Stegostoma tigrinum: one gene and its partners. The protein of the gene in region 1 purifies or fractionates together with the protein of each later gene. This does not show direct contact. Links are inferred from orthologs where the notes say so. Each region holds a gene or a part of one and is shown on either strand. Other genes may lie near its edges. The genes, in order: irak1, E3 ubiquitin-protein ligase pellino homolog 2 and stip1.

The links.
Region 2: the proteins of irak1 (region 1) and E3 ubiquitin-protein ligase pellino homolog 2 purify together in Homo sapiens (affinity purification with western blotting; 7 studies listed by BioGRID and IntAct, with this or other methods). This does not show direct contact. The link is inferred for Stegostoma tigrinum from reciprocal best matches to the Homo sapiens genes IRAK1 and PELI2.
Region 3: the proteins of irak1 (region 1) and stip1 purify together in Homo sapiens (affinity purification with mass spectrometry; 3 studies listed by BioGRID and IntAct, with this or other methods). This does not show direct contact. The link is inferred for Stegostoma tigrinum from reciprocal best matches to the Homo sapiens genes IRAK1 and STIP1.

What each region holds. Positions count from the first base shown.
Region 1 is NC_081402.1:3,445,923-3,453,461, forward strand, and holds the start of irak1 (interleukin-1 receptor-associated kinase 1), read right to left. Parts: upstream 3,320-7,539; 5' UTR 3,210-3,319; coding exon 3,098-3,209; intron 1-3,097.
Region 2 is NC_081363.1:48,278,611-48,286,455, forward strand, and holds the start of E3 ubiquitin-protein ligase pellino homolog 2, read left to right. Parts: upstream 1-4,625; 5' UTR 4,626-4,869; intron 4,870-7,845. UniProt on the Homo sapiens protein: E3 ubiquitin ligase catalyzing the covalent attachment of ubiquitin moieties onto substrate proteins. Involved in the TLR and IL-1 signaling pathways via interaction with the complex containing IRAK kinases and TRAF6.
Region 3 is NC_081395.1:4,430,314-4,438,675, reverse strand, and holds the start of stip1 (stress-induced-phosphoprotein 1), read left to right. Parts: upstream 1-5,222; 5' UTR 5,223-5,279; coding exon 5,280-5,294; intron 5,295-8,362. Other genes in the region: ADP-ribose glycohydrolase MACROD1-like, read right to left, coding at 506-767. UniProt on the Homo sapiens protein: Acts as a co-chaperone for HSP90AA1. Mediates the association of the molecular chaperones HSPA8/HSC70 and HSP90.

The DNA of each region.
Region 1 (7,539 bases):
GCAAAGCTCAGCACGTGCTAGAAGAACAGCACCTCATTTTCTGTTCGGGGACCCTACAACATTCTGGACTCACTATGGAGTTCAGCAATTTTAGGGCTTGAGCTTCTCCTATCTCCTTGCCCATACTCCCACAAATGTCCGGCTATTACACACAACCCATAATCTATTTTTGGTCACTAATAGATGTTCCTTCTCCCAGGCTGATCATCACCCACTCTCGTCAGTTCAACTGTTCTTCTCTCTTAAGGTCCGATCCCCCACCTATCATTTACTCCTTGCCCCCTCCCCGCAACTCCTATCTTCTGCATTTAAAAAAAGACATTTTCCCAGCCACCAAGAGTTCTGATGAAGGGTCACCGGACCTGAAGCGTCAACTCTATTTTTTCTTTCACAGATGCTGCCAGATCTATTGAGCTTTTCTTGTGATTTATGGTTTCGCAAATGGGATGTGACCTTTATACACAGAGGACTGGAGTATAAGAATGCAGAAGTTTCACTACAGCTATATAAAACCATCTGAAGGGGGAAGGGTCACTGGGCATGAAACATTAACTCTCTCTCTCTACAGATGCTGCCAAACCAGCTGAGCTTTTAAAGCAATTTCTGAGTAGGTAAACTAAATTCCACTAAAGACAGATGTGCAGCACGGAAACAGACGTTTTGGTCCAACTTGTCTGTGCTGACTAGATTTCCCAATGTGACCTAGTCCCATTTGCCAGCATTTGGCCCATATCCCTCTAAACCCTTCCTACTCACGTACCCAATCAGATGGCTTTAGTAACTGTACCAGCCTCCACCACTTCCTCTGGTAGCTCTTTCCATATACTCCCCACACTCTGCAGAAGCAATTGCTCCTTAGGTCCCTTTTAAACTTTTCCCCTCACCTTAAAAATTTACACCAAGTTTTAGGCTCCCCTACCCTGGGGGAAAAGGCCTCAACAGTTCACCCTATCCATACCTCTCGTGATTTTATAAAACCTCTAAGGCTCCCTCCCCACCTCCCACCAAGAGTCCAATGACCCAGCCTCTCCCTAAAGCACAAACCCTCCAAAATCCTTGTAAATCTTTTCTGCACCCTTTCAAGTTTCACATCTTTCCTATAGCCAGGAGGCCAGAATTGATCACAGTATTCCAAAACTGGCCTCACCAGTAGTTGGAGATTTGAGAAGTGGGGGCATAGAATAAAACAGCCTTTATTGTCGCATTTACTCTGAGTATAGTGAAGAGTTCTCACATCACCAATTACAGCACCAACACTGATACTAATGTACCTAGGAACAGCTTCTTTAGTTTTAAGGTGGGAATTACAGCCTAATCTGTTCAGGATCAACGTTTGGAACTCTCTTTCAGTGGATTAGAAAAATAGGAACAAAAGGTGCAGGAGTAGGCCATTCAGCCCGTCAAGCCTGAACCACCACTCTAAGATCACGGCTGATCATGCAACTTCGGTATCCCATTCCCACCCTCTGCCCATACCCCCGATCCCTTTAGCCATGAGGGCCACATCCAGCTCCTTCCTGAACGTATCTAATTAACTGGCCCCAACAGCTTCCTGTGGGAGAGAATTCCACAGGTTCACAGCTCTCTGACTGAAGAAATTCTTCCTCATCTCAGTCCTGAACAGCTTACCCTCTCAGACTGTGACTCCTTGCTCTGGACTTACCCATCATCAGGAACATTCTTAACATTCTGTCCAGCCCCATCAGGGTTTTACATGTTTCTATGATATCCCCTCTCATTCTTCTAAATTCCAGCAAGTACAAGCCCAGCTAACCTAGTTTTTTTTGCCTCATCCGTCAGTCCTGCCACCCTGGGAATCAGTCTGGTGAACCTTTGCTGAACTCCCTCAATCTGGATGTGAGTTTGCTCGCTGAGCTGGAAGGTTTGTTTTCAGACATTTCATCACCATTCTAGGTAACATCATCAGTGAGCCTCCGGTGAAGCGCTGGTGTTATGTCCTGCTTTCTATTCAACCTGAGCTACAAATCTTCTCAAAACACGCAAACTCCCTCAATATCAAGAATGCCTTTCCTCAGACTAAGAGACCAAGACTCAAGTTGTGGTCTCACCAATGCCTGTATACCTGTAACAAGACATCCTTACTCTGATGATCAAATTCTCTGGTTATGAAAGTCAGCATGTCATTATCTTTCCTCACGGCCTGCTGCACCGCACGCCAACAGCACACCTTGTCCCAACCTGCCACAAATCAGACAATAATCTGCTTTTATGACCAAAGTGGATAGCCTCACTTTTATCCTCATTGTATTGCATTTGCCAAGTACCTACCCATTCAGCCAGAAACGGAATTAGACTCAGATCTTAATTGTCAAGTCTAGATCACGTTGCGGCTGTACAGGTCATTGGTGAGGCCACTTTTTGGAATACTGTGTTCAATTCTGGTCTCCCTGCTGTAGAAAGGATGTTGTGAAACTTGAAAGGTATTAGATAAGATTTACATAGATGTTGCCAGGGTTGGAGGGTTTGATCTATAGGGGGCAGGCTGAATAGGTTGGGGCTAATTTCCCAGAATGTTGGAGGCTGTGGGATGACCTTAAAGAGGCTTATAAAATCATGAGGGGCATAGGTAGGGTGACAAGTATAGGGGCATAGGTTTAAAAGGAGGGAGGGGAAAGAGTTAAAAGGGATCTAAGGAGCACCTTGTTCACACAAGAGGGTGGTGTGTGTATGGAATGAGCCACCAGAGGAAGTGTGGAGGCTGGTACAATTACAACATTTAAAAGGCATCAGAATAGGAAGGGTTTAAGAGGGTTATGGGCCGAATGCTGGCAAGTGGGGCTGGATTTATTTAGGATATCTGATAGGCATGGACAAGTGGGACAGTCTGTTCCCATGCTGTACATCTCTATGTAGGAATAAGAGTGAAAAGCGTAAGAAGTTATCACCCGGGGCACCGAGATAGATAAATCGTTGCTCAGCAAGTAAAATGGGCTGAAGGTAGGTGGGCGACCTAATTCCACTTGATCAGCCACTGGAATGGGGCAGCAGGGTTCGAGGGGTTGAATGGCTACCCTGGATCCTCAAATCTCGCGTTAACTGATCAAGAAGAAGGGTGCGCGCTCTCGCTGTCTCTCACCGAAGCGGTTCCAGTCGCCACTGCCCAGCGAGTCCATCACCGTGCAGAATTCGCACATGGTGGCGGCGGGCAGCTTGTAAGCGTACTCAGTGGTCCAGCTCCACTCGGACATCGTCCTGTCTTTGGTTCGTGCCGGTCTAGGCCGCAACCCGTTCCTATGGAAACCAAACAGAGCTCCTCACCCTCCAACGCCGAGACCCGCGACTGGCGTCGCCGCCACTCCTCGGGACCCGGGGCCCGATTGGACGCCTCCCATTGGCTGACCGCCCCGCCAATCGGACAGCGCCCAACGCGTCTATTCGTCCCCACACAGCGAAAAAAACATAAAATAACCCCACGTGTCCCTCGCTCCCATTGGTCGAAACTGCAGCCACGCAGAGAGGAATCACGAACTGGATTGGTCGGCCCAGGAGGAGCTCGAGAAGTTACCGCCCCCGTCACGGTGCCTGCCATTCGATTGGCCATCCGGCCACGTCGTCATAGGCATTCCTATTCCCCATTGACCAAACCCGCTGCCACTCAGAATGCAGCTGGAGTTGATTGGTCGGCCGGTGAGTTTGTGGGCTCAATGAAGTCCATGCCCCCTTACTTCCTTCTCCGCCCCTTCCCAATCACGAGCCGGCTCTGTCCCACCTCCACTCAAACGCGATTTCGGCAAACGGACACCGCCCACGGCCAGTTCGCGGTTTGATTGGTCCGACAGTCTGTCACTCTAATCCCACTTACGGCTTTGTGCCCGCACCTTTATCAGCGATTGGCTCAAGGACAGAGCGCGCTGTTGACGATTGGCTGGTGCCCCTTCAATCAGATAGTTCGCATGAACCTGACCCTTGACCCAAGAAAAATACCAATACCCGAAAGATGTTTAAAACTTTCATTATGTTATTATAATGAGATTGGGAGTCTTCATAAATACAAAATGACCGTCTTGAGCCCAATTGCAGAGCAGATCTCAGAACGATACATGACAAAAGAGACCATTCGGCCCATCAACTCTGTGCTGACCCTAAACTTTGTCCGCTCCCACTGTCAGCACTCGGTCCACAGCCTTGAAAGTAAAGACACTCGAAGTGCTCCGCCGCATTTTGAAGTTCAGCAGCGCAGTATTCCATCAGCACTGACCCTCTGACAGTGCCCGCTCCCTCAGCACTGACCCTCCGACAGTGCGTCGCTCCCTCAGCACTGACCCTCCAACAGTGCCCACTCCATCAGCACTGACCCTCTGACAGTGCCCGCTCCCTCAGCACTGACCCTCTGACAGTGCCCGCTCCCTCAGCACTGACCCTCTGACAGTGCCCGCTCCCTCAGCACTGACCCTCTGACAGTGCCCGCTCCCTCAGCACTGACCCTCTGACAGTGCCCGCTCCCTCAGCACTGACCCTCTGACAGTGCCCTCTCCCTCAGCACTGACCTTCCGACAGTGCCCGCTCCCTCAGCACTGACCCTCCAACAGTGCCCACTCCATCAACACTGACCCTCCGACAGTGCCCGCTCCCTCAGCACTGACCCTCCGACAGTGCCCGCTCCCTCAGCACTGACCCTCCGACAGTGCCCGCTCTCTCAGCACTGACCCTCCGACAGTGCCCGCTCCCTCAGCACTGACCCTCCGACAGTGCCCGCTCCATCAGCACTGACCCTCCGACAGTGCCCACTCCATCAGCGCTGACCCTCTGACAGTGCCCACTCCCTCAGCGCTGACCCTCTGACAGTGCCCACTCCATCAGCACTGACCCCTCCGACAGTGCCCACTCCATCAGCGCTGACCCTCTGACAGTGCCCACTCCCTCAGCACTGACCCTCCAACAGTGCAGCGCTCCCTCGGCACTGACCCTCCAACAGTGCCCACTCCATCAGCACTGACCCTCCGACAGTGCCCACTCCCTCAGCACTGACCCTCCGACAGTGACCGCTCCCTCAGCACTGACCCTCTGACAGTGACCACTCCCTCAGCACTGACCCTCCGACAGTGACCACTCCCTTAGCACTGACCCTCCGACAGTGCCCACTCCCTCAGCACTGACCCTCTGACAGTGACCGCTCCCTTAGCACTGACCCTCCGACAGTGCCCACTCCATCATCATTGACCCTCCGACAGTGCCCACTCCATCAGCACTGACCCTCCGACAGTGCCCACTCCATCAGCACTGACCCTCCGACAGTGCCCGCTCCCTCAGCACTGACCCTCCGACAGTGCGGAGCTCCATCAGCACTGACCGTCCGACAGTGGTTGCTCCCCCTGGTGCTGACCCTGCAACAGCAAGGCACTCCCTCCGAACTGACCCCCTGACAGCACCCACTCCATCAGTGCTGACCCTCCAATAGTACTGACGGGAGTGCCACGCAGTTGGAAGGTGTGTAAGGATACAGTGCCGCACTGTTAGAGGGTCAGCGCGGAAGGAGCGGGCACTGTCGGAGGGTCAGGGCTGAGGGAGCGCTGCACTGTCGGAGGGTCAGTACTGAGGGAGTGGGCAATGTCGGAGGGTCAGTGCTGAGGGAGTGGGCACTGTCGGAGGGTCAGTGCTGAGGGAGTGGGCACCGTCGGAGGGTCAGTACTGAGGGAGTGGGCACTGTCGGAGGGTCAGTGCTAAGGGAGCGGTCACTGTCAGAGGGTCAGTGCTGAGGGAGCGTCGCACTGTCAGAGGGTCAACGCCGAGGGAGTGGACACTGTCGCAGGGTCAGTACTGAGGGAGTGGGCACTGTCAGAGAGTCAGTGCCAAGGGAGCGGGCACTGTCAGAGGGTCAACGCCGAGGGAGTGGACACTGTCGGAGGGTCAGTACTGAGGGAGTGGGCACTGTCAGAGGGTCAGTGCTAAGGGAGCGCCGCACTGTCGGAGGGTCAGCGCCGAGAGAGTAAGCACTGTCAGAGGGTCAGCGCCAAGGGAGCAGTCACTGTCAGAGGGTCAGTGCTGAGGGAGCGTCGCACTGTCGGAGGGTCAGCGCTGAGAGCGCGGTCACTGTCGGAGGGTCAGTGCTGAGGGAGTGCCGCACTGTCGGAGGGTCAGCGCCAAGGGAGCGGTTACTGTCAGAGGGTCAGTGCTGAGGGAGCGCCTCACTGTCAGAGGGTCAGTGCCGAGAGAGTAAGCACTGTCAGAGGGTCAGCGCCAAGGGAGCGGGCACTGTTGGAGGGTCAGTGCTGAGGGAGCGCCACATTGTTGGAGGGTCAGTGCTGAGGGAGTGGGCACTGCAGGAGGGTCAGCGTTGAGGGAGCGCCGCACTGTCGGAGGGTCAGCGCTGAGGAAGCGCTGTACTGTCGGAGGGTCAGTGCTGAGAGAGCACCGCACTGTCGGAGGGTCAGTGCTGAGGGAGCGCTGCACTGTCGGAGGGTCAGTGCTGAGGGAGTGCCGCACTGTCGGAGGGTCAGTACATTTCTGAAGAAGGGTTCTGATCTGAAATGTCAACTTCCCTGCTCCTCTGATGCTGCCTGCCGTGCTGTGTTCCTCCAGCTTCACACTGTGTCATCTCTGACTCCAGCATCTTCAGTTCTTAACTGTCTCCACATTGAGTATCTTAGTCTTTGGGATGACAAGCAGTTGGGACCATCAGGGGGAGCTCTGTTTAAACAAACCTAAACCCTCATGAACATTAACTGAGAACCACAAAGCTCAGTTCCAAATAAGAGTACGACAGCCAGCAAATTGTACTGAACATATCTGAGGCACTTCGTTAGATCCCAGCTGGAGGAGCGTGTGCAGTTCCGAGCACCACTCTTCAGGAAGGACATGGACGCTTTGGAGAGAACGTAGCAGAGACTCACAAGGACAGTGAGGTATGAGAAATAGGTTGGAGAGTCTACGAGCTATTTTTGTCAGAAGGATCTGATTAAAACTGTGACGCATCTGACTGAAGGGGAGAAAATTTTCCCGTTTGTCGAAGGATCAGCCGAAACAAGAAAGCACAGTATTTGTGGTAGCGTGGTGACTCGTATTTAGCACTACTTGCCTCGGAGCACTCGGCACCTGCATCTGATTCCACTCTCCGGCAACGGTCAGTGTGGAGTTTGCACATTCTCCCTGTGTCTGCGGGGGTTCCAATTTCCTCCCATGTCCAAAGATGTGCAGGTTAGGGTGAACTGGCCATGCTAAACTGACCACAGTATCCAGGGATGTGTGGTTTAGGGTGGGTTGGGCATCCGAAGTTACCTCGTAGTGTCCAAGGATATGCAGACTAGGTACATTAGCCATGGGACATGCAGGTTTTGGGTATAGAGTGTTGGTGCGATTTGATAGGCCGAATAGCCTGCTCCTAAACTGAAGGGATTTTTTTTAAGGGTTTTCTCCCCTCCCTCTTCAAGCAGCATGGCAAAGGCAAGTTCAATCAAGGTTTTCGGAAGGGCATTCATTGGATGATGGTTTGAACAGCAACAACGTCAGAGTTTCGGGGGATAAGGCTGAGAACGTGCACCAGAGTTACAGCACTCTCTCAGCCAGCCACAAATGGGCTGA
Region 2 (7,845 bases), on another chromosome or scaffold:
TTTCAATGAAATCACCTCTGATGCTTTAAACTACAGAACCCTAGCCTGTCTAGCCTTTCCTCAAGGCAATCTGCCCTTCCAGATATTAGTCTAGCAAACCTGTTCTGAACTACTTCCAATGCATTAACATCCTTCAACATTAATGGTGACCATTACTGTACACAGAACCCCAGATGTGGTACCATCCATGCCCTATGTAACTGAAGCGTAACTTCCTTACTCTTGCATGTAATTCTTCTTGCAATGAAAAATAATATTCTATTAACTTTCCTGATTACTTTTTGTACCTGCAAGGTTACCTGTACTCACCCTCTGCAATTCATGCACTTGGACACTTGGTTCTCTCTGCATTTCAGACCTCTCACCACTTAGATTTTTAAAAATTCTTTCTGCCAAAATGAACAATTCTACACTTTCCAGTGTTGTACTTTATTTTCCAGAACTTTGCATGCTCACTTAATCTATCTATAACCTTTGTACATTCTTTCTTTCTGTCCTCTTCAAAACTCACTTTCTTATCTTTGTCATCAGCAAATTTGACTGCCATATCTCGGTTAACTTTATCCAAATTATTTGTATAATTTGTAAAGTCGAGGTCCCAGCATCAACCTCTGTAGTGCACGACTAGTGACATCCAAACAGTCTGAAATGAACCATCAATTCCTAATCTTTACTACCTATTAGCCAGACAATCTTCTATCCAAGACAAGATGTTACTCTCTGTACCATGAGCTTTTATTTTCTGCAATAACCTTTATCAAGCTCTTCATCAAATGCCTACTGTAAATCTAAATAAGACTATATCCACTGATTCTCCTTTATCTATAGCAGGAGTTATTTCCTCAAAGAACTCTAATAAATTAGCTAAACATGATTTCCCTTTGGCAAAACCATACAGACTCTTGCTGATTACTTTGAACTTATCTAAGTGACCTGTTGTAACATCTTTAATAACAGCTTCTAACACTTTCCCCACAGCAGATGTTAAACTCTCCACAGGTATGCATTCACTCAACAATGCATGTAACATTGACTGTATGTTACAACTGCTTAAATAAGTAGATAGCCCAAGGGTTGCATACTGCCCACATGATAAACAATATTTACCAGCTAAGCGGGGCTTGTAATCCAAGGGCCATTTTTGGGCCCTGTCAGGTTTTGAATTTTCAGTTTTCAACGATTACTTAGCTATAGGTGTTCCATGTATGCTCATTAAAGTGATCTCCTGTTAATTCTAACACTAATAATTTTAGAATGAAAGGCCCAATCCCATAACTTGCATTCTCATTTAAGGTGACACATTGAAAATATTCATGATATATCTACTAGTAAGGAAAGCAATGGTGACCAATTAGTCCATTAGCAAAAACATGCTATTCCATGTTGTCTAGAAATGAAGAAGGTTTACCCACTCTATCATTCACTCTTTCTTTAATAAAGATTAAGGGCCATCTGCCTCCAGGGCATTAACCTTCTTCCATGAGCCCAGACATGAGTCAATTAGCTTCTTTCAACCTCTAAACTGCTATCTTTTGCATAAAATAAGGATTGGTCCCATGATGAATCATAGATGTAAGATCTTTAAGCGGGTTTGAGATTTTCAGCTCGAGTTGCAAATTGTTGCTGTTAAAAATGGTTTGACTGTATAGTCAGAGATAATGGGAAGGGTCTAGGCCCAAAACGTCAGCTTTTGTGCTCCTAAGATGCTGCTTGGCCTGCTGTGTTCATCCAACTTCACACTTTGTTGACTGTAGAGTCAAATCTCTTTGGTGGGGCTGATGTGGCTAAAAGGCAGCTTCACATTAAGTTTTTATCAATTTCAAATCAATTTTTGGAAAACCAATGTGAAGTACTATGAATAAGAACGTTATTAATCACTAATGGTCCATTGGTCGTGTGTGTGTGAGAGAGAGAGAGAGAGGTCAAGAAACACATAGGACCCCTTCCTCCTGGACACCACCCCAAGGCCTCTTACCCTCCCTTGACCTCTTCATCTCCAACTGCCATCGAGACATCAATTGCCTCAACCTCTCCACCCCTCTCACCCACTCCAACCTCTCCCCTGCAGAACGTGCAGCCCTCCACTCCAATCCCAACCTCACCACAAAACCCATGGACAAGGGAAGCACAGTTGTAGTATGGAGCACTGACCTCTATATTGCTGAGGCCAGGCGCCAATTCTTCAACACCTCCTCCTACCACCCCTTGCTCAGGACCCCATCCCCCCACTACCAAACCATCATCTCTCAAACCATCCAAAACCTCAGGTGACATCCAAGCCACAGCCTCCAACCTCATCGTTCCCTATCCCCACACTGTCCCCTTCTATCTCCTTCCCAAAATCCACAAACCCGATTGCCCTGGTCGACCCATTGTCTCTGCCTGCTCCTGCCCCACCAAACTTATCTCCACCTATCTCGACACCATTTTCTCCCCCTTGGTCCGGGAACTCCCTACCTACATCCATAACACCAACCACGCCCTCCACATCCTCCAGAACTTCCGATTTCCCCAGTCCCCAACACCTCATCTTTACCATGGACGTCCAGTCCCTATACACCTGCATTCCCCATACAGATGGCCTAAAAGCCCTCCAACAACTTCTTGTCCAACAGGCCTGACCATTCCCCCTCCACCGACACCCTCATCCGCCTAGCCAAACTCGTCTTCACCCTCAACAACTTCTGTTTCAATTCCTCCCACTTCCTACAGACAAAGGGGGTGACCATGGGTACCCGCATGGGCCCAAGCTATGCCTGCCTCTTTGTAGGTTACGTGGAACAATCCCTCTCATGTACCTAAACTGGCCTTAAACCCCACCTCTTCCTCCGTTACACTGATGACTGTATCAGCGCCGCCTCATGCTCCCACGAGGAGCTCGAACAGTTCATCCACTTCACAAACCCCTTCCACCCAACCTTAAGTTCACCTGGACCATCTCCAGCACATCCCTCACCTTCCTGGTCCTCTCTGTCTCCATCTCTGGCAACCACCTAGAAGCAGATAATCATTTCTTTCACAGCTATCTAGAATACACCTCCTCCCACCCACCTTCCTGCAAAAATGCCACCCCCTACTCCTAATTTCTTTGCCTCCACTGCATCTGCTCCCAGGATGAGGCATTCCACTCCTATCCATCTCAGATGTCCTCATTTTTCAAGGACTGCAACTTCACCCCCGCAGTGGTAAAGAACGCCCTCAACTGTGTCTCCTGCATTTCCCGCAACTCATCCCTCACAGCCCCTCCCTGCAACAACAAACAAAACAGAATCCCCCTCGTCCTCATGTATCATGCCATCAACCTCTGGATGCAACATATCATCCTCCGACACTTCCACCATCTGCAATCCGACCCCACCACCAAAGACATTTTTCCCTTCCCACTCTTATCTGCTTTCCAAATGGGCTACTCCCTCCGCGACTCACTTGTCCGCTCCATCTCCCTTCTAGTCCCACCATACTCGGCACTTTTCCCTGCAACCGCAGGAAGTGCTACAACTACCCCTACACCTCCTCCCTCACCCCCATCCCAGGCGCCAAGAAGACTTTCCACATCAAGCACAGGTTCACTTGCACATCTGCTAATGTGGTACACTGCATCCGCTGTTCCTGTTGCGGCCTCTTCTATATTGGGGAAACTAAGCCGAGGCTTGGGGAACGCTCTGCAGAACACGTACACAGTGTTCGCACTGAACAACTGCACCTCCCAGTCGCAAACCATTTCAACTCCCCCTCCCATTCCTCAGGCAACATGTCCATCCTGGGCCTCCTTCAGTGCCATAACGATGTCACCCGAAGATTGCAGGAACAATAACTTATATTCCGCTTGGGAACCCTGCAGCCCAATGGTATCAGTGTGGATTTCACCAGCTTCAATAACTCCCCTTCCGCTACCGCAACCCAAAACCAGCCCAGCTCGTCGCCGCCTCCCTAACCTTCCTGCCTCTCACCTATCCCCTCCTCCCACCTCAAGCCACACCCCCATTTCCTACCTATTAACCTCATCCCGACCCGCTTGACCTGTCCATCCTCCCGGGACTGACCCCTCCCTACTTCCCCACCTATACTCATCTCTCCTGGCTCCATCCCCGCCTCTTTGATCTGTCAGTCTCTTCTGCACCTATCTTCTCCTCCATCCATCTTCTATCCTCTTCCCTCTCTCTCCCTGTTTATTTCAGAACCCCCTTCTCCTCCCCTATTTCTGAAGAAGGGTCCAAGACCGGAAACATCAGCCTTCCTGCTCGGCCCTCTGTGTTCATGCAGCTCTACACTGTTATCTCAGATTCTCCAGCATCTGCAGTTCCTACTATCTCTGGGTTTTTTTCCCCGTTCATTTCTCTTTTGATCCGAACCACTGACCACTTTGCAATTACAGATTGAATACAGCATTACATTCCAGAAAAAAGCTGAAAACTGTCTTTTTTTTAAAAGATTGTGACACAATTACCAGTATCAATTCCCAGTTGTAGATAACCCATTTTAATATCCAACAGTTAGCAAGCTGTTTCTGAAGTGGGCAACCCGACACAAAATACTTCAATTGTCAATGAAAAAGAAATGAAACTGTTTTGAATTTTAGTTTCAGTACCAGACACAGGCTGGCCAATCAGTACTGAACATGCAGCTTGACGCGCCTGTGTTGACTTGAGGGGTTCTTTCCCCCAGCAGGATTTCCTGCTTTGTCGCTGACATGTTAGTTTCGAGGCGACCGGACGAAGCTGCTCCGCTTGTCTGATCGTCTCTGGCCTGAAGCGGTGAACTTTCCGCTCGCCGATAACAGCACCAGCGGGTTCCGGGCGAAAAGTTAACCAGCGGCTTCGCAGCTGCGCTCAGTGTGGCAGAGTTCTCCGCTCCTCGGAAAGGCCTTCGGTATGTACTGTTTCTGTCAACAACATTTCAGGGCAGAGAGCTGGATCAGATGTTTGAGAGCGGAAAAAAAACTTTGCATTTCAACCCTCTCGATCTGTTTTACTTCCGTTGTTTGTTCTGTGTCGGATCACTGCTTGCGTAGCACAGCTTAGTTTAAATGAACGAGCTATCATTTCGCGATGTTTCCCTGCTTGTTGTAAGAATACAGATGCATTTTGAGCACGCAAGCTGTGTGTTTGCTATGATAATAACTGGAAACAATGTCGATTTTTATTTCTTACGGATTTGCCAACTAATCCGACTGTAGCGAGGGTTGGTTACATGATCCAGTCAGTTTCGACGTTTATCAGTTTATTGTTTATAAAATCCGCCGTTTCAGTTTGCGTGATCAATTGAAGCCAAAGAATTGAGTATCTAGAGATAACACGCGGTTGAGATGAATTCTTGACAAAATGGTCGATTTCACTGTTTCACAAATAGATTTATCCTTACGGGTCATGTACAGGCGGCTGCAATGGGTTAGATTACTGTGACGTTTCCCGACAAGATGCTCAGTATTTCCCAGTTTTGAAAGGAAGCTGTGCATTTCCGTGTTTATTACTTGTATTTTCTTTGAGCACGCATTTCTTTTCTGTTTTTCCTGGAACTTCTGCCTGGTATCCTTCAGCGGTTTTATAAGAGTCTAATGGACAGTGTTCTCACGTTATTCCACCGTATATTGTATAATAAGAGTTTGATCCAATACTAGTTCAGTGTGCAAATACACACTTTAATTTAGATAAATGTGAGGTGCTGCATTTTGGAAAGGCAAGCCAGGGCGGGTCTTATACACTTAATGGTAAGGTCCCGTTGCTGAACAAAGAGACCTTGGAGAGCAGGTTCGTAGTTCCTTGAAAGTAGAGTTGCAGGTAGAACAGGATAGTGAGGAAGGCATTTGGTATGCTTTCCTTTATTGGTATGTACATTGAGTATAGGAGTTAGCAGGTAATATTGCGGCTGTGCAGGACATTGGTCAGGCCCCTTTTCGAATATTGCATGCAATTCTGGTCTGCCTGCTGTAGGAAGGATGCTGTGAAACTTGAAAGTGTTCAGAAAAGATTTACAAAGAATTTGCCGGGGTCGGAGGCTTTGAGCTACAGGGAGAGGCTGAATACTCTGGGGCTATTTTCCCTGGAGCATCAGAGGTGGAGGGGTAACCTTATAGAGGTTTATAAAGTCATAGGGGCATGGAAAGGGTAAATAGACAAGGCCTTTTCCCCGTGGTGGTGGAGTCCAAAACTAGAGGATGTTGGTTTAGGGAGAGGGGAAAAAGATTTAGAACAAAGAAAATTACAGCACAGGAACAGGCCCTTTGGCCCTCCAAGCCTTTGCCGATCCAGATCCTCTATCGAAACCTGTTGCCTATATTCCAAGATAATGAAGTGTGAAGCTGGATGAACACAGCAGGCCAAGCAGCATCTCAGGAGCACAAAAGCTGACGTTTCGGGCCTAGACCCTTCATCAGAGAGTGGGATGGGGAGAGGGTTCTGGAATAAATAGGGAGAGAGGGGGAGGCAGACCGAAGATGGAGAGAGGATAAGATAGGTGGAGAGGAGAGTATAGGTGGGGAGGTAGGGAGGGGATAAAGTCAGTCCAGGGAAGACGGACAGGTCAAGGAGGTTAGTAGGTAGGAAATGGAGGTGTGGCTTGAGGTGGGAGGAAGGGATGGGTGAGAGGAAGAACAGGGTAGGGAGGCAGAGACAGGCTCTGAGCCTATTTTCCAAGAATCTGTATCTCTCTGCTCCCTGCCCATGCATGTATCTGTCTAGATAGATCTTAAATGACACTATCGTGCCCGCCTCCACCACCTCTGCTGGCAACGTGTCAAGGCACCCACCACCCTCTGTGTAAAGAACTTTCCACGCATACCTCCCTTAAACTTTTCCCCTCTCACCTTGAAATCATGACCCCGAGTAATTGAGTCCCCTACTCTGGGGGGAAAAAAGCTTCTTGCTATCCACCCTGTCTATACCTCTCATGATTTTGTAGACCTCAATCAAGTCCCCCGTCAACCTTCGTCTTTCTAATGTAAATAATCCTCATCTAATCAAACTCTCTTCGTAGCTAGTGACCTCCATACCAGGCAACATCTTGGTGAATCTCCTCTGCACCCTGTCCTAAGCATCCACATCCTTTTGGTAATGTGGCGACCAGAACTGTACTCAGTATTTCAAATGTGGCCGAAGCAAAGTCCTATAAAACTGCAACATGACCTGCCAACTCTTGTACTCAATACCCCGTCCAATGAATGAAAGCATGCCATATGCCTTCTTGACCACTCTATCCACCTGCATTGCCACCTTCAGGGTACAATGGACCTGAACACCCAGATCTTTCTGTGCATCAGTTTTCCCGAGGGCTTTTCCATTTACCATATAGTTCACTCTTGAATTGGATCTTCCAAAATGCATCACATAGCATTTGCTTAGATTGAACTCCATCTGCCATTTCTCCGCCCAACTCTCCATCTATATCTATATTTTGCTGCATTTGCTGACAATCCCGTTCACTGCCTATTACTCCACCAACCTTAGTGTCATCTGCAAAATTGCTAATCAGACCATCTTTACTTTCCTCCAGATCATTTATGTATATCAACAACAACAGTGGTCCCAACAAGGATCCCTGTGGAACACCACTGGTCACAGTTCTCCATTTTGAGAAACTCCCTTCTACTACAACTCCCTGTCTCCTGTTGCCCAGCCAGTTCTCTATCCATCTAGCTAGTACACCCTGGACCCCATGCAACTTCACTTTTTCCATTAGCCTACCATGGGGAACCTTATCAAATGCCTTACTGAAGTCCATGACATCTACAGCCCTTCCCTCATCTATCAGCTTTGTCACTTCCTCAAAGAATTCTATCAAGTTAGTAAGACATGACCTTCCCTGCACAAAACCATGCTGCCTATCACTAATAAGCCCATTTTCTTCCGA
Region 3 (8,362 bases), on another chromosome or scaffold:
CTTGTGAATGGGATGCCAGTTTCTGTGCAGTTATTTCAAATACAAAATGCATTATCAACTAAGGTTATCAGTCCAGCTTCCAAAGTGGCTCACTTTTATGCATTCACATCCTCCATATATAACCAGTGCAAGTTCAGGAGTTGCACCTTTCCCTGAGAAAGTGAATCTGTGGAGGGCAATACTCCCTCAAAGCAAAAACAGAAATTGTGGGAGAAACTTCAGGTCAGGCTGTGGGGAGAGAGAGAAAGTGTCAATGTTTCAAGTCCAGTGACCCTTCTGAACTTGGTGCACTGTTCTTAACTGGCCATTCATCAACTCAATCATAATGTTTTCCCCCAATCCCGTTGCATAAATTGTTATTCCGTCTCAAATTTGGCAGTCTTGAAGCTGTCCTCCTGAGGTGATCAACCTCTCTCTCTCTCTTCATTGAGGCGCAATACTGTTTTTGACTTGGAAACTTGGTGGTTACAATGGACTAGGTGGTGCGGGGAGGTTGGGTACTTACCTTTCGCCACTTTCCAGTCGGTGGTGGACCATGAAGGATTAAAGTCCTCGTGGGACATCCCGGAGAGGCAGGCGGACGCCGTCGAGGGAGGGCTGCGGAGCCGGCGGCCGGCGCACAGCAGCCAGCGCGCAGGCGCGAGGCCGCCGGCCGCCGACTGTTGTGACCGTTGGATTCGAAAAACGTTCGAAACGGGCGGCGCGCGAAACGGCCCCAAGCCCCAAGGAAAACGACCTCGCCTCAGCACGGCGAACAGTTTCTCCATCCCTTCGTTTCCGCCCGAGCACCTTTATCGCTTCTCTGTACTCGATGTCTGATGGCGCTGTCGAGGTCGTTGCAATGATTTTTGTATTTTTTTGGAGGGGGGTGTTCGTTTAATTTTGTGAAGGGGGACTCCAGGTGAAGCAAGCTTTTCCGGCACACGTGACCTCTCAAGCGAACTAGGCAGCGGAGGGGGCGGAAGTCGGGTGCGTCGCCCTCTGGGAGGTGTAGTTTCCCGCTTGTTATCCCAATCGGTGGGAGTGTGGGCTGTGAGTTCTACCTGGTGCGTCACTCTGGAATTTGTAGCCTGCGCCCGCCTGAACCAATCGGAAAGCAGAATTTGGGCGAGCGGCCTCAAGGAGCATTGCCTTTTGGGATTTGTAGTTCCCTGGTAGCCCAGTTCGTCCCCTCCCCTCACTGCACCACACAACCAGCCCAGCTCTTCCCCTCCACCCACTGCATCCCAAAACCAGTCCAACCTGTCTCTGCCTCCCTAACCGGTTCTTCCTCTCACCCATCCCTTCCTCCCACCCCAAGCCGCACCCCCATCTACCTACTAACCTCATCCCACCTCCTTGACCTGTCCGTCTTCCCTGGACTGACCTATCCCCTCCCTACCTCCCCACCCACACCTTCTCCACCTATCTTCTTTACTCTCCATCTTAGGTCCGCCTCCCCCCTCTCTCCCTATTTATTCCAGTTCCCTCTCCCTATCCCCCTCTCTGATGAAGGGTCTAGGCCCGAAACGTCAGCTTTTGCGCTCCTGAGATGCTGCTTGGCCTGCTGTGTTCATCCAGCCTCACATTTTATTATCTTGGATTCTCCAGCATCTGCAGTTCCCATTATCTCTGATACCCTTCACAGCTACCTGTGGCAAAAGAAGGCTTGACAGCCTGTTATTCTGAAAGTATGCCCTCTAGACCTAGACGCTTCCCTGAGGGGAATCATCCTCTCCACACTTACACTGTCAAGCCCCTGAAGGATCCTATACGTTTCAATGAGATCACCTCCCATTCTTCTAAACTCCAGTGAGTAGAGTCCCAACTTATTTAGCTTTGCTCATAAGACAATCCCTCCATACCAGGGATCATCCTTAATGAACCTTCTCCAAACTGTCCCAGTTTAAATAAGGGTCCAGACTACCCACAGCAGTCTAGATGTGATTACCTAGCAACATATACGCTTACAGTGAGACTTCCCTACTTTTATACTCCAATCGCCTTGAAATAAGGGACAACCTTCCATTAGTCTTCTTGATTACCTGCTGCATCTGTGTGCTAGCTTTCTGTGTTTCATGTACAAGTCCCTTAAGTCCCTCAGAGATAGCAAGAACTGCTGATGATGGAGGAGCAGCAGGCCAAGCAGCATCAGAGGAGCAGAAAAGTTGGCATTTCAGATCAGGACATGTCTTTCAAAATTGAGACGTCATTGTGATACTTGAGGAGGCCCAGGATGGATATATCACCCACGGAGTGGGTGGGGAAGTTGAAATGGTTTGTGACTGGAAGGCATGGCCTCCTCTACATCGGTGAGACCCAGTGGAGGCTCATAGATGCTTTGTAGAGCACCTGTGCTCTGTTCGCAACAAAAGACAATACCTTCCAGTCACGAACCATTTCAAATCCCCCTCTCACTCCCAATCCCTGGGTGACATGTCCATCCTGGGCCTTCACCAGTGTCACAATGACACCGCCCAGAAACTGGAGGAGCAGCACCTCATATTCCTATAATCCAATGCTCTCAGTATGGACTTTACCAATTTCAAAATCTTTCCACACTCATGACCAACCTCCTCTCTCATTCCTGCCTTCTTGACCTGACACAACTTGTCCATGTTCTCTCCACCAATGCACTCCTCCCACCTCACTGACCAATCCCCAACACTGCCTACCTGCATTCACCTATCACCATCCCACCTACCTTCCCCAGCCCTACCCCTCCTCTCTGTTTATTTCAGAGCTGTCTTCCCCTGCCCCTCATTTTTGAAGGGTCCTGGCCTGAAATGTCAACTTTCCTGCTCCTCTGATGCTGCTAGGCCTGCTGTGCTCCTCCAGCTTCACACTGAGTTACCCCAAGTCCATTTGTGTTTATGCAGTTTTTCTCTTTTAAATAATACTGTTCTTTTGTTCTGCCTTCCAAAACAAACAACTTCGTGTTTTCCCACATTATACTTAATTTGTCTGTTTTTGCCCATTTACCTAACCTATCAATGTTTCCCTGTAAACTGTTGGTATCCCTCTCACAACTTGTCTTCCACTTATTTCTGTATCACAGAATGGTTACATTATTTTGCCACATCATTTCTGCGCTGGCATACCAAAAGAACAACTTACTTACAGTAATTCATCTGCGTTCTTCCCATAACCCTACACATTCTTCATTTTCAGATGAAAGTCCACTTGAACCTGTTGCATCACAATTTTACATTCGTTGAGCATCACTAAATATTGTAAAACATTCCTTCAGGTGATTCACAGGAGCCGAGAAGATGATTTAAGAACTTTATCATGAACCACCTAAAGAGTTAGTTGGTCAATAAACAGGAATTATTTTCAGGGTTTCAAACTCTAGGGATAAAATTTTAAAATTTAGGTAGGAAGAAAAGAGAAGCAAATAATAGGCAGTGGATGAAATATCCACACTTGTCAGACAATTCAAAACTGTGAAGGAATCCAAATGGGAAATCAGGAAAACTTCTATACTCAGAGTGGTCAGCATGTGGAACTCCTACAGAACATGTTGAAGTGAATTACCTAGATGGTTTCAAAATAAAATGACACATAAATATGATTTAGGAAGGATTTAAAGACAATGGAAGGTATGTTAATACGTGGTGAACAATGAGCTTGAGCTTAATTAAACCCAACAGGATCAAAATTCTGAAACAAGAACAGAAATTGCAGAACAAATTCAGCAGATCTGGCAGCATCTGTGGAGAGAAAGCAAATTTAAACAATTCGGGTCCAGTGACCCTTCATTGAAACTAACAGTGGATTTGATGCAGATTTAATAATCTCCTCCAGCCCCGACACCCTTCTCTCATTCTTCTCTCCGATTCCATCCTCTTGAGCACCCCCTGTTCCCAACATACTACCATTTTCAACCTTGCCTTCAACTGCCGGGGATCCTAAGATCCAACGTGGAATACGTGTGTGAATATTACGATGGTACAACCATATTAGTTGGATATGACCTGCAGAGACAAGTTGATTTGTATTGCATATTCCATTGTTTTCAAATCAAATTGAGTGGCATGGTGGCCTCAGTGGTTGGCACTGCTGCCTCCCAATGCCATGTTCCATGTTCCAGCCTCGGGCAACTGTCTGTGTGGAGTTTTCATAAAATCCCCATGTTGGTGTAGGTGTACTCCAGTTTCTTCCCACAGTCCAAAGTAGTGTAGGTTTGGTGGATTGGCCATACTAAAGTATCCAGCCATTTGCAAGCTAGGTGGATTAGCCATGGGGAACGCATGTTTACAGGGATAGGGGAAGCGGCTGGGTCTGGGTGGACTCAATGGGCTGAACGACCTGCTTTCACTCTGTAGGAACTCAGTGAATCTGTCAAAGTTCTGATCAGCTATGTACATTTTAAAATTTGCATATGCTGTCAGAGACAGATTTAGAAATTAGTTAGGAGGTATGTGGGATGTTGCTGTTATTTATTCCCATTTTTGTTCTTCAATATAAATACCATACAAACATTTTGATTTAAATATTATAGGTATTTTGCAACGCACAAGTGCCTGTTCCACCTCATACGCTTCTCATCATCCCAATATTCGCAGAATACATTCTATTTGAATCTTGGAGGTAAATTGTTTGTAAAGACCCTCAAAGTGAACTGCCTCCAACTGCTGTGCTCTAGAATGTTCTTCTGGCCGTTTTAAAAACTGGTCAGCCCATTGGCATGAGTGGGTGGGCCTAGGGCGTAGCTGTTCTACCAATTGGCCATGCCGTCCTGATTGACAGTGCCATTACCCAACCCTGACCATTTAACAGGCGGTACGACCGGCATGAGTGGGGAACATTTTGTAATTGACGGTAGGACAGCCAATCGGAAAGCGATATCTCGGAAAGCTGGACCAACGGGGTGCGAAGCGTTAGAGGCGGGCAGGCTTCCTTTGATGGATTGTTGAATGAGCCAATTGAATGAGAACATAGGGAACGTCCTTGGACGTGGCTCGGCCTCCGGGAGACAGACGGGCAATTAGACTAATCGGAAGAGAAAAGAACTTGAAGACCCTAACTAATAAGAAGAGCGTGAAAGGAGGGGGCGGGATTGCGTCCGATGATGGACTGCCAGGCAGACTAATCAGAATGAAAGAACCTGAAGATTTGGGCCAATGAGGACTGTGGGGGCTGGATGCAACCCGTAGATGGACTGACGATTGGACCAATCGAGAGGGAGACAGTTGGGGGCTGCGGCCAATGGGAGCGTGTAGGAGGTGAGGGCGGGGATTTCCGGCGTGAGTTCTGGTAAGTTCGAGAAGGCGCGTGGTGAGCTGATCGAACTGGTAATGGATCAGGCGAAGGTAAGAGAGAGGAAGGAACGCAAAATAAACGCTTGAGAAAGCACTGAAAAAAAGTGCACTACAACCCTGTCCTAAACTAAGGACGTTAGCAGGACGATATATGGGTCCTGTGATTTATTATTGCACTGGCTGTACTGGGGTGGAGCTCCATTACAACGTGAACGTGAGGTTAGGTAGAAAATAAACCCTCAAAAGTAGTAATCTCTGGTTTACTGTTGGTGTCCAGCTGGAATAAGGGAATGAATATAAGAGATAAATCAATTGCAAAAGAGATGTTATAATGTTTGGGAATTCAGTTTCTTGGATCATTAGGATCTCTTTTGGGACAGAAAAGACCTGTTCAAAAAGGATGGGTTTCATCTGAACTGGAAAGGGACCAACGTCTTCGTTGAGACTATGAGAGATCCTAAGTCACAGCGTTAATAGAAAGATGGATGCGAGCCTTGCAAGAACAAGTTAGTTAGAAGAACAAGAGCAAGTCTGAGAACACGATAATTCTGAAGAAGTGAACTGTATTTATTCCGATGCAAGTGTTCTTACTTGTAGGGCAGATAAGCTGTTGTCATGTTGAGGAACATGAATTGGAATGTCATAGTGATTACAGAAACTTGGCTGAGGGAAGGACGGGGCTGGCAGCTCAGTGTTCTGGGTTTCAGGTGCTGTGGGAAGAAGGGAGACAGGCGAGGAGGGGGGAGTGGTGTTTTTGGTTAGGAAGAATGTTATTGCAGTAATTAGAGCAGATATTTCTGAAATATTGTCCAGTGAAAACATATGGATAGAAATTAGAAACAAGGAAGGAATGATCATGTTGATGGGATTGTATGAAACTACCCCCCCTCCCAAAGTAGTTGGGGGATGTTGAAGAAATATGTAGAGAACTCTCCAGTTTACATAATAATAGGGTTCTAATATGTGATTTTAATTTTCCAAACTCTGACTGGGAGTGTTAAAGATTTGAATGTGAATAATTTGTTAAATGTGTTCAGGAATTTTTTTTATTGATACATAAATGTTCTGACTAGAGAAGGAGCAAAATGTGACCTCCTTGAGTAGTAATACAGGGCAAGTGACTGAAGTGTTAGTAGGGGAACACTTTAGGACAAGTGATCATAATTCTATTGGACTGAAAATAGTTCTAGAAAAGGATAGGCCCTCTATGAAAGTTAACCTTTTTCCAATTAAAACTTTATTTTTAATGATATGAGACACAAATTTTCAGAAGTTGATTGAAGTAGACTGCTCATGGGTAAAAGGACATGTGATAAGTGGGAGGCTTTCAAAAATGTGATAACGGGAGTTTGGAGTCATTATGTTCCTCTGATTATAGGGTAAGGCTGGTAGGATTAGAGAACAATGAATGAATGAAGATATTAAGATTCTAGTCAAGAATAAAGAATCATGAGATATGGACAACTGGATTCAAATGAATCTCTTGCACAGCATAAAGAGTGTAGGGGCATTCTTAAGAGGGAGCTCAGGAAGGCAAAGAGGGAATGAGAGCCTTGGCAGGTAATGTTAAGGATAATCTAAAGAAATTCCATCAGTACATTAAGAGCAAGAGAGCAACTGGAGAGAGAGAGGGAGAAAGTGCATGTAGGGCCCCTTAAGGATCAAATATGTTGTCTTTGTATTGAGCCTCAGCAGATAGAAAATATCCATTTAAAATTCTTCTGTCAGTTTTTATTGTGGAGAAAGAAATAGAGGTGAGAGAACTCGGGGAAATAAATATTGATGTTTTGAAGGCAGCTCACATTACAGAAGAGGAAGCTCTGGAGGTCTTTAGAAAATATAGCAGAAGATAAATCTCCAGGACCTGATCTAGTGTAACTAAGGACCTTGTGGAAAGTTAGGGAGGAAAAATTTGTACCATCCGTAACTACCAGTGAGGTGCCTAATGTTATGCCTTGGTGTTAGGAGAAGCCTGGGAACTATAAACCCGTGAGTCTGACATTGGTGGGTAAGTTGTCTGAGATGATTGTAAAAGATAGGATTTACATGCATTCAGAGAGGCCAGGAAGAATTACAGATAGTCAGCATGGATTTGTGTGCGGGACACCATGTCTCTGAAACGTGATTGAGCTTTGTGAGGAAGTAACCAAGCAGATTGAGGGTAATGCAGTAGACCATTATTTATTTGGACTTTAGTAAAACCTATGACGAGGTTCCACATGGTAGACTACTTAGTAAAGTTAGATCACATAGGATTCAAGATGGGCTTGACAACGGGAGACAGAGTGGCAGTGGGGGGGTTGTTTTTCGGACTGGAGGCCTGTTACTGGTGGTTCCACAAGGATGGTTCTGGGTCTGCTTTTGTTCATTACATATAAATGATTTAGATGAGAATATGGAAGGCCCAGTTAATAAGTTTGCAGACAATACTGAAATTGGTGGTTATAGTGGACAGTGCGGAAGGTTACTTGAGATTACGAAGAGATCTTGATCAATTGTGGCAATGGGCTGAGGAGTAACAGATGGAACTTAATTTGGGTAAATGCAAGGTTTTTGCCTTTTGATAAAATAAGCAAGGGCAGGACTTGGACCATTCATGGTAGGATCTTGGGTAATGTAGAACAGGATATAAGGATAGGCTCGGACCTCTTTCACAGGAGTGTAAGAGGTTGAGAGATGATCTTACAGAGGTTTGTAAAATTGGGGGGTATAAATAAGGTGAATGACAAGAGTCTTTCGCCAGTGTGGGGGGTTTCAAGACTGGGGGGCCTATTTTTAAGGTGAACGAAGAAAGATTCTCAAAAGGATATGGGAGCAACCTTTTTATACAGTGTGGTTTGTGTGTGGGATGAACTTCTTAGGGGAGTGGCAGGTGCAGTTACAATGTTTAAGACATTTGGATAAGTTCATGAATAAGAAATGTTCAGAAGGATATGGGCCAAGCACAGGCAGGTGGGAATAGTTTGGTTGGGATCACGATCAGCATGAACTAGTTGGATTGAAGGGTCTGTTTTCATGCCATATGATTGTGTATAAGTTGCCAGGCTAGCCTGCATCGCCTTATTCATGTTCAAGGTCCTTCAGTATAATTTATTTTCTTTAAGTAACATTGTTTCACC